3 linked regions of the Saccharomyces cerevisiae S288C genome follow. Changing the gene in region 3 together with the main gene of any one other region gives a genetic interaction. Each region holds a gene or a part of one and is shown on either strand. Other genes may lie near its edges. The genes, in order: NUC1, REX3 and REX2.

The links.
Region 1: mutations in REX2 (region 3) and NUC1 together harm fitness more than expected from each alone (negative genetic interaction), as found in Saccharomyces cerevisiae (2 studies listed by BioGRID).
Region 2: of REX2 (region 3) and REX3, changing one enhances a phenotype caused by changing the other (phenotypic enhancement), as found in Saccharomyces cerevisiae (2 studies listed by BioGRID).

The regions. Positions count from the first base shown.
Region 1 is NC_001142.9:39,632-43,149, forward strand, and holds NUC1 (ribonuclease), read right to left. Parts: upstream 1,553-3,518; coding exon 563-1,552; downstream 1-562. Other genes in the region: CBP1 (Cbp1p), read left to right, coding at 1-338; AP-1 complex accessory protein LAA1, read right to left, coding at 1,758-3,518. UniProt on the Saccharomyces cerevisiae protein: This enzyme has both RNase and DNase activity.
Region 2 is NC_001144.5:362,093-365,851, reverse strand, and holds REX3 (RNA exonuclease), read right to left. Parts: upstream 1,737-3,759; coding exon 522-1,736; downstream 1-521. Other genes in the region: REA1 (AAA family ATPase midasin), read left to right, coding at 2,114-3,759. UniProt on the Saccharomyces cerevisiae protein: 3' to 5' exoribonuclease required for proper 3' end maturation of MRP RNA and of the U5L snRNA.
Region 3 is NC_001144.5:259,105-262,573, forward strand, and holds REX2 (Rex2p), read right to left. Parts: upstream 1,444-3,469; coding exon 634-1,443; downstream 1-633. Other genes in the region: glycine hydroxymethyltransferase SHM2, read right to left, coding at 1-297; FRS1 (phenylalanine--tRNA ligase subunit beta), read left to right, coding at 1,875-3,469. UniProt on the Saccharomyces cerevisiae protein: 3'-to-5' exoribonuclease specific for small oligoribonucleotides.

The sequences.
Region 1 (3,518 bases), on a different chromosome or scaffold from region 3:
ATGCTGCAAAGAGAAGTAAAACATACTGGACAAAATCGAACTGTAACCCATTCATTGCATCCTCCCCATGTGATGTCAAATTAAAAGTGAATAATCAAAACAGGTTTACTATTTTAAGGAATATTGCATTAAGCGCACTGCAGATAGGAAGAACAGACATTTTTCTTTGGGCGTGCGCAGAACTATACCAGAACGGTATGACGATTGAGGAATTGAAGTTAGACTGGAATTTCATCTTAAAACATCAAATTAGAAATTCAGAGTTCAAAACAAACAAGGAGATCATACAAGATATTAAAAAGCATGGTGTGTCGGCTGTCAAACGTTACTTAAGATGAACGGCCAAACGCACATTTACGATATAAATAACAAAGCAAATAATAACAAAACAAATTTCTGTAAATATATACTAAATCCAAGCATTGCATCCTAATTCTTTTCTTTTTTTGATCATCAAATAAATGTATTATTTTATGTTATATGCGTTAGACTTGTTATATTCTTTCATGCTATTCTATCGTTGTGTTATGAATTAATTTATATTTACAGTTTTTCAGTACATTCAATTCCTTTTTTTTGGAGGAGGTAACAATTTCACATCTTTCGATTGTTTGATCGCCGCGTTAGAGAAATCTCTCACTACAATTTGACAATTTACCTCTTTGCATAATGCCTTCTTCTTTGAAGGTGGTACTTTTTGCAGAAGTTCTAGCCCAGTACTTCTCTCTAAAGCATCTATAGGAACTTCAAAGTCAGTCAATTTCGTCTCATTTGATATCGGTTCGTTTGGCAATACAAATGCCGCGACAGCAATATCCTCTCTAGCAGGATTGGCTGTTGGTGCTTCTGCAACAATCAATTTAAAAAAGTGCGTTGGAACAGCAATACTGGGTGGATTGCCAATAACTTCATAATTAACCCTAAATTTATTATCTATGGGATCCTTTTTGGGTAGATACAATGGACCAGTCACGATTCTTACACTCTTATATTTCTTAGTCAATCCCCTACAAAAGTACTCCAAATGCGCCCAATAGTCTCTATTAAAACCTTCTCCTACTTGAGGACACATATTGGATAAGTAGAATGTATCATCCATGGCCTGTTGAGAAAATTTTGCGTCTGCAGCTGGGGCTTGATGGCCTCGATCATAGCCCGACCTAAAATAGTCTCTTAGTTTACCTCTAAACTTTTCTGGAATTACTTCATCTTCCTTGAAAAAGGAATTTTTTCTGTCAGCATTCCTTGCAGCCAATGATTCTGGCGTTATATGTTCGAGGACCCAATAAGGATTTTGAGTTTGTCTGTTGTAACATGAGATAAACTCTTCGCGGTTCTGCAGATCATGAATCGGACCAGGAAAACCATACTTGAAGAACCCGGAAGGATCGACGTTGAAAGAGTGAGATTGAATATTACTATTAGGTTTCTGGGTAGGTGGATAAGGTGTCTCAATGATTTGCGTTGGAGAATGTTTGTTCAAAAGAAGATAGGTTAAGCCAGTACCAGCACCCAGTCCGACTAAACCGGACAAGAGTATCCTACTGCACATGATAACTTTAACTTTGGGATCTAATAAGTGGGGAACTTAACTAAATGTTCTTATCTTTATACAATTGTAACTCTATAAAAACTAACAAATTACTTGATGAGTGACCAATAACCAATTGCACCATTGATATTTTTTCACAGATTTTATTTTTTTTTTCTTTTTTCGCGATGAGTTTTATTTCCGTGCATATGCATCCGACTTGCAATTAGTCGAAAGATTTCAGTTGAAAGGCCTCTTCGACAGAGCCCAAAGACTGCGATTTAACGTATGCCTCCATCACGGAACCTATAATTGCTTTTTGTTGAGGACTTATAGTGCTAGAAATGGCTTCTTTAAATGAATTTTTGTCCAATTTAGCCAAAGCAACTATGCCACTTGCTACTTCGTTGTCTATTTTCTCTGTATATGCGCTATGATATGCGGCAAAGAAAGAAAGACATAAAGCAATTGACAATGATGCCTTTTGGTGATCTTGTTTGATTACTTCCTCGGAAAACTGAATTATCAACTTAGTTTTAATGCTTGCCTGCGATAAGGAATCGTTTGTTTGAATATCTTGAAAGAATCTTTTTATAACCAACTTCATAAAATACTGCAACAACGGGTATTTGAAAATATTAGATATTATTCTCTTGAAGCCTTGTAGAGCAATTGGCTGCGTAGCAGGATTATTCAATGCCTCCGAGAGAATATTTGCGCACTGATTCAGTTCCTGAAAACTTAGCTTAGAGTATCCATTAGACAGCAAGATCAAAATGGTTGCAACTTTATTCTTTGAATCCAGCTTATGATAAATAACATCTTTTATTGACCCGTAGAATATTTCTAGTAACACAATATTTTTTTCGTCCTCAGATTCCGTAAGCGCTTTTACTAGTGCCTTGAAAAGTGGGAGTATGATTGGAATTATTACTTCACGATGACTACATTCATAAATTTTCCCTATGATGAATAAAAGACATGAATAAAGATCTACTTTGAACATATTGTCGAAGTTACTGATATTTGATTCGAACGCAATAAATGTTTTTTTCAACAGACTAATATCTGTGGGAGAGATTTTTATTTCATTATCATCTTCTTCGCTGGTAAGCACGTTATACTTAATAAATGGCAACCTCTCAGAAATAATTGTCATCAGTAGTCGCAGTAGCTCATATAGTTTGTCAATATCTTGTAGAAATGTTTCAGGAGTAGCATTACACTTCGAATACCCAATGATCAAGTCACTGATGATATCAACAAGCAAAAATTCTTCTTTACTGTCGCCTGTAGAAATCAGTCTGTCCATAATCTCAACAACTTCAGTAATAATATCATCCTCAAATATACTTTTTATGCACAGATTGCTCTTCAAAACATTGTGTAAAGCCGGTAAAACTTGCATCTTGACTGAATGATCATCAATATTTTTGACGATAGCCTCCAAACATTGGCTAAATAAAATAAAAAGAAAATACTCTAATTCCTCATCGTTAAGAGATGCCAAAATGACTTGAACGTCTGAATCCAGAGTGCACCCAAGGGCCTCTACGAAATTTAACCAGACCGGTTCATATAACTCAATTTTCGTACTTCTTGGTTCAATGAGACTATTTTCTTTCGAGTCATTCTTTACTTGCACAGTAGAATCATTATCGTTATACTTTATCATCATGTATTCACGTAAAGAAATGATCCATAATGGGACTAAAATGCTCCAATATTTCCTGGTAAAAGAGAAAAGCGCATCATTTGACGACGTGATGGATCTTTGCACTACCTCAGCCCACGCATCCAAAACGGCAAGTTCAATTTTTCTTTTCGCTTTGGGTGTAACGATTATAGCTTCCCCTATCCGTATACCGGAATTAGGATCTTTAAAGTTACCAAGAAGGTCAATTAGTAATTGTGAAATTCTTCCCAATTTATCTGGTGGCATTATATTCGATGCCAACACTTCAGCAGCAACAGTAATAGCAAAGGA
Region 2 (3,759 bases), 100 kb from region 3:
AATGGAATCCCAACAATTATCAAGTTATTCCCCCAATTCTCAGACAGTCATGGTAGCAATATAAATTCTGAAATTATATTGTGTACAAATATACGTATAGCATTTATTAGTGCTGGAGATTATAAATAACAGAACTATTATGGAGAATTATCGATCATACTTTACCGTTTAGATGTTTTATGTTGTCTTTTAATGCCGCATGCAATACTTTTTTAGATTAAACTTAAAATTAACTTGTTCTGGTAATTACTGACGGATAACAGGTACTTCTTTAAATAGGATTATGGTGCTTCAGCTATCATCAAGTTTGGTACATCCTGAACCCAATTTCACGATATTTTAATATTCAGATATTGAAAAGGTGCATTATTATTGTTCGCTTAAATACAGAAAATAGGAAAGCAATACGAAATCATTACTTTTATCATGTTGTTTCTTAACGTAATTACTTAATAAAACTCATGTGAACCGTATGAAATGTAATAACTATATATGTCTGCTCAACTTTGAATATGATCACATTATTTTTCCCACTTGTTTTGACTTGGAGAAATACCTATTTTGACTTTAACAACGTCCATCGTTGCTATTGCATCTTGAGAACTATCATGCTCGCCATTTTGGATTTTTCTACTCAAAACTTCAAACGCTAAGTTCTTCAAAGAAACCTTAAACTTTGTTCTTGAATAAAGTATTGCAGTATCTATAACCTTATTATGAAATAGCCTCATGACGTTCAGATCGTTCTCTAGTCCGTGCCCTATAAGAATACTATTTTTATTTATTAAGTTTTCGGATAAAAAAACATCAAGTGCCTCCTTGTACGTCGGGCAATTGGTTCGGTCAATCTCATGGACACCACTGAAGTCTGAATTCAGATCGACAATATCCCCTATTGGCTGAATTACATGATCAAATAGTGTCTTGCCGGTGAAAAAATCCACAATTGTTAAACGTATCATCTCATAGCCCAATGATGTAAAAGCCATTTCACAGTCAAGAGAAAGAACATTCTCAACACCATCAATGTCATCTGTACTAGAAAACTTCGAAATTTTGCATAACTCGTCATATGATTCTCCTCTAAACACATGGTGAAAAAACGTCTTGCATCCTAGCCTTAGAAAAGAAACGGAATCAGTAGTTTCACCACAGCATGGATACTGATGGTTCTTGGTATCTCTGTTGTATATTCTTTTCAAAGGGTGATACCTACATAGAGTCTTTTCCATGATGTCTGTTTTTTTGAAATTTGAGCTGCAACGCAAACAAGGTGCATACAGTTGCGTACTATTGTCATCATTAGTTTTATTTTGCATTTCCTTAACAATATACCCATTTTTCTCTAAGACCTTCGAATCCAAAATCAGAGCCTTTAAAGCTTCCATCGCTTTTGATTTTGTAGTGATAGAGTTTGCATTACCAATTGAGGATAAATGAGGCTTAGCTCCTTTAAGGGGGCGCCCATTAATTTTGATCTTCGAGAGATCTCCTTTATATTTAAGCACATCCCGCAGTAAAATGCTCATGTTAAACTTGTAACTCTGACCAGACAAGCTGTTTTTAGCAACATGGACTTCTAAGCGAGTGGCAAGTCTTTCAAGGTCAATATTAGTTCCTTTTGTGTGTGCATATGCCTTTTGTAGCTGCTTGAATAATTTCTGCAAAATTTTATATCTTTCTTGGAATCCAAGCGGTTGATTTACCAGATCAACCGGTCTCAACAAACTTCCCATACTAAAGCTTTCTCTTGATATATAGTCAAACTGAATGTATACTGAAACACATATTCAAGGCATTGATTTTAAATGCACTTGAACCGTTATTCCATTTCTTTTTCTACTCATCATTTATTGTCGCCCTTTACGAGGTATTTTTTCTTTTTCGAGTGAAAAATTTTAAAGAAGCGATGAGCTAAGGTCTATTTAGCTTTATGAAAAGAAAACATTATATCACTTACTGCTTTACTTTAGACATTCCTCTCCAAAGTGATTATTTTAAAGATTCAAAGTACCTCTGAGTTAATTTGACATCGAATTCTACTCTTATTATTTTAAGGTACCTCTACTTTACGCGGTCACATTATTTTTAAAACCGTTATAATCTGCTGAGAATGTCCCAGGATAGAATTTTGTTAGATTTAGACGTAGTTAACCAAAGGTTAATTCTCTTCAATTCTGCTTTTCCCTCTGATGCTATTGAAGCGCCCTTCCACTTTAGCAACAAGGAATCAACTTCTGAGAATTTAGACAATTTAGCAGGAACTATACTACATAGCCGTTCCATCACTGGTCATGTTTTCCTTTACAAACATATTTTTTTAGAGATAGTGGCACGTTGGATAAAGGACTCCAAAAAAAAAGATTACGTTCTTGTAATTGAAAAGTTGGCAAGTATAATTACAATATTTCCCGTTGCAATGCCATTAATTGAAGACTATTTAGATAAAGAGAATGATCATTTCATCACTATTCTTCAAAATCCATCCACACAAAAGGATTCCGACATGTTTAAAATACTATTAGCATACTATAGGTTACTATATCACAATAAAGAAGTATTTGCACGCTTCATTCAACCCGACATTTTATACCAACTTGTGGATTTACTCACCAAAGAACAAGAAAATCAGGTTGTTATATTTCTAGCATTAAAGGTTTTATCTTTATACTTAGACATGGGAGAAAAAACATTAAACGATATGCTCGACACTTATATAAAATCACGCGATTCATTGTTGGGCCATTTTGAGGGCGATTCTGGAATTGATTACAGCTTCCTCGAACTGAACGAAGCTAAGAGATGTGCAAATTTCTCTAAACTACCCAGTGTTCCAGAATGTTTCACTATAGAAAAAAAATCTAGCTACTTCATTATTGAGCCTCAGGATTTGAGTACTAAGGTCGCGTCAATCTGTGGCGTTATCGTCCCTAAGGTCCACACTATCCACGACAAAGTATTCTACCCATTAACCTTTGTCCCTACTCATAAAACGGTTTCCTCTCTTCGTCAACTCGGGAGAAAGATTCAAAATTCAACTCCAATAATGCTCATTGGAAAAGCGGGATCCGGTAAAACCTTTTTAATCAATGAGCTAAGTAAATATATGGGTTGCCATGACTCCATTGTGAAAATTCATTTAGGTGAACAAACTGATGCCAAGTTACTGATTGGTACTTATACCTCTGGTGACAAGCCAGGCACGTTTGAATGGAGAGCTGGTGTTCTCGCTACCGCGGTCAAAGAAGGGAGATGGGTACTTATAGAAGACATAGATAAAGCTCCTACAGATGTTTTATCAATACTTTTATCGCTTTTAGAAAAGCGCGAACTAACCATTCCATCCAGAGGAGAGACTGTAAAGGCTGCAAATGGTTTCCAGTTAATATCAACTGTTAGAATAAACGAAGATCATCAGAAGGATAGTTCCAATAAGATCTATAACTTGAATATGATTGGTATGAGAATCTGGAATGTTATTGAATTAGAGGAACCTAGCGAAGAGGATTTGACACACATTTTAGCCCAAAAGTTTCCCATTTTGACCAACCTTATCCCCAAACTAATCGATTCATACAAAAACGTCAAAAGTATTTATATGAACACCAAGTTCATTTCATTGAACAAGGGGGCACACACAAGAGTTGTATCTGTAAGAGATTTAATTAAGCTGTGCGAAAGGTTAGACATCCTATTCAAAAACAATGGCATCAACAAACCTGACCAACTAATCCAGTCTTCTGTCTACGACAGTATTTT
Region 3 (3,469 bases):
TGGAGTAACATGGAAAGCTTTCAAAGCTCTTTGTTGACATAGAATTTCCATTCTGTCAATGTGTTCATTACCACCGTAGTAACGAGCACCTGGATAACCTTCAGAGTATTTGTTGGACAATGGAGTTCCAAGGGCATCGAAAACGGAGGTTGAGGTGAAATTTTCAGAAGCAATCAAATCGATGGAGTGCTTTTGTCTTTCAATTTCATCCTTGATAATGGAGTCCACTTCAGGGTCGGTGTCCACCAAATGAGAGGTGATCAACTTATGATGAGCGTCGGATAGAGTGTAAGGCATGTTAAGGAGGATTCGGTTTAAGCTGTTATGCTTTGCTATGGGGTAGTATCTTTCGTAAAGGTTACACTAGAAGAAGGAAAGATTACTGAACGCAAACTAAGGGAAGCAAGTTCTGCATTATATATAAAACAAGATGAAGAAGACTCATGGTTCGGTCTAAGATGATTATGAATTTAAAAATTATACAGAGTAAAAAGCGAACATGAGAAACCCAAGAGATAGAGTCAAACCTTTATGGTCAAAGCAACCTGAAAGGGTCATTTCTCACCAGGAGTCATGTTTCGTGTGTGAAATATTTGAAAAATTTCACTTCTTTTTTCTTTTTTTTTTTCTACATTAAAAATCGGTGCGTTGTCTTTTCAAAGATGAGGTAGATGAAGATGGTGACTCCGGCTGTTCAGATCCGATTGACTCGACCGACTCTGTTTCCTGTGGTGGCTTCAAGTAGTTGTCCATGTACCATTGCAATTGAGCTATGCTCTCTTTGATATCACTATAAGCAGTGTGGGCAGCTTCTTTTTTTGGATTACGTGCTTGTAAAGCGGGATTGTGTCTGCGGGCAACTTCCATGATGCTACTGACGTCAACTATTCTGTAAAAGAGATGATCAATGACCTTGGGAAACTCGCGGACCATGAACAAGCGGTCCATATGTACACTATTGCCTGCCAAGACGCCAACGTTCTTGTCTGGGATGTAGCGCTGGATGTACTCGAGCAGCTCATCTTCTACCTGGGCCAAAGTCTTCTCACTTGCCAAAACTTTGGCGGTGAGACCGCTATTACCGTGGTGCTCAATACACCACTCGTTCATTTTGTTCATCACCTCGGGACCATAATGGATGACGCTCTCATAATGCGAGTCTCCTTGGCCATCGGCCGCTTTGACGGGTGCCAGGTGTCCATCGGTGATGATGCAGCAAATCTCGATAATTCTGTCATTCACGTGGTCTAAACCGGTCATCTCGCAGTCGATCCAGACCAAGGGTTTGAACAGCTTGGTTTTAAGTTCGGGTGTTTGCGCCATTGATTGCAGGTTTTGGATGGTTCGAGGACGTAAGTACTGTGAAACGGATCTTCTGTACAGCGAGAAGAGGTTTGGGCGAGTGCGAGCTACGATTCTTGCCGGAAACAACAACCACTTCATCTTGATCTCTTCTGTTTATTTGTGAAAGCTCCTTTTCTTTTTTTTCATTTTCTTTGCAAATCGAAAAGTTCACACTGATTTTTTATTAGTTCTTTTAAGTGCCCAACTTGACAGGAAAAAGAAACACCCCAAAGGGAATACCAGTGTATGTAAGGCTTGAATTATACGTATGAGCATGCGTTTGATGGTTGTCGTCAGAGCCAGTGCTCTGAGAGTGTCCCAGATGACTACAACCCTTGTATAAAAGTACATCTTCTTGATTATTTATCACGACACACGAGGTGACCGATTATTCAGAATCGGTACCAAAAAAGAAAGAAAATTGAAGGAAATGAAAAATTTTCAATGTATTTCTCGAAAGCCTGGAGTTGATCAAATGTTCAAAAAATAGGGCAGAATAGCATAACACACATCAATAACACCGAGCCAGCATGCCTACCGTCTCCGTGAACAAGCAGCAATTATTTGATCTTCTAGGCAAAAACTACACTTCCCAAGAGTTCGATGAATTATGTTTTGAATTCGGTATGGAAATGGACGAAGACACCACAGAGGAGGCCTTGAAAACCGGGGAGGAGCCGGAATTGAAGCTTGATATCAGTGCCAATCGTTACGATTTGCTTTGTATCGAAGGTATTTCACAGTCGCTGAACGAATACTTGGAACGTAAAGAAAGACCTGACTATAAATTAAGCAAGCCAACCACTAAGTTGATCATCGACAAATCAACGGAGCAAATTAGACCTTTTGCTACCGCTGCTGTATTGAGAAATATCAAGCTTAACGAAAAATCTTACGCTTCTTTTATTGCCTTGCAAGATAAATTACATGCCAATCTATGTAGAAACAGAAGCTTGGTTGCCATGGGTACTCACGATTTAGATTCAATTGAAGGTCCATTCCATTACAGAGCTCTACCACCAAAGGACATCAAGTTCGTACCATTGAATCAAACCCAAGAGTTTACTGGTGACAAATTGATCGAGTTTTATAAATCTCCAGAACAGAAAAACAACATAGGGAGATACGTTCACATTATTGAGGATTCTCCAGTCTTCCCAGTTATTATGGACAGCAAAGATCGTGTTTGCTCCCTGCCACCATTAATCAATAGTGAACATTCGAAGATCTCTGTGAACACCCGTAACATTTTGATTGATATAACCGCCACCGATAAGACCAAAGCCGAGATCGTTTTGAACATATTAACTACAATGTTCTCACGTTATTGTGACGAACCATTCACGGTTGAGCCTGTAGAAATTGTCTCTGAACACAATGGCCAATCCCGTTTGGCGCCAAACTTCAACGATAGAATTATGGATGTCTCCATTAAGTACATCAACTCCTGTCTTGGCCTAGATCAATCCGCTGATGAAATTGCTCATTGTCTAAAGAAGATGTCGTTGCATGCCGTTCAATCAAAGGAAGACAAGGACATCTTGCACGTTGACATTCCGGTAACTAGACCTGATATTTTGCACGCTTGTGATATAATGGAAGATGCCGCTGTCGGTTATGGTTTCAATAATTTGCCAAAGGGTGAGAAATTATCCAATGCCAACTTCATTGCCAAACCATTACCAATCAACAAGGTTTCTGATATTTTCAGAGTTGCATCCTCTCAAGCCACGTGGGTTGAGGTTTTACCATTGACCTTATGTTCGCACGATGAAAACTTTAAATTTCTAAGACAATCCGACAATGGTGATTTAGCTGTCAAATTGGCCAACCCAAAGACTTTGGAATACCAAGTTGTTAGAACCACTTTATTGCCTGGTATCTTAAAGACAGTCAAGGAAAACAGAAAACATTCCTTGCCAATCAAAGTCTTTGAAACCGGTGACGTTGTATTTAAAGACGACAAACTAGAAAGGAAGGCGTACAATGAACGTCACTGGGCTGCCATCTACGTGGGTAAGAATTCTGGGTTTGAAATCATTCAAGGGTTATTGGGTAAAATCATGCAAACTTTTAGAACAGAGTGGATTGCAGACTACGGTGCTGCTGCTTCTGGCAGAGGTTA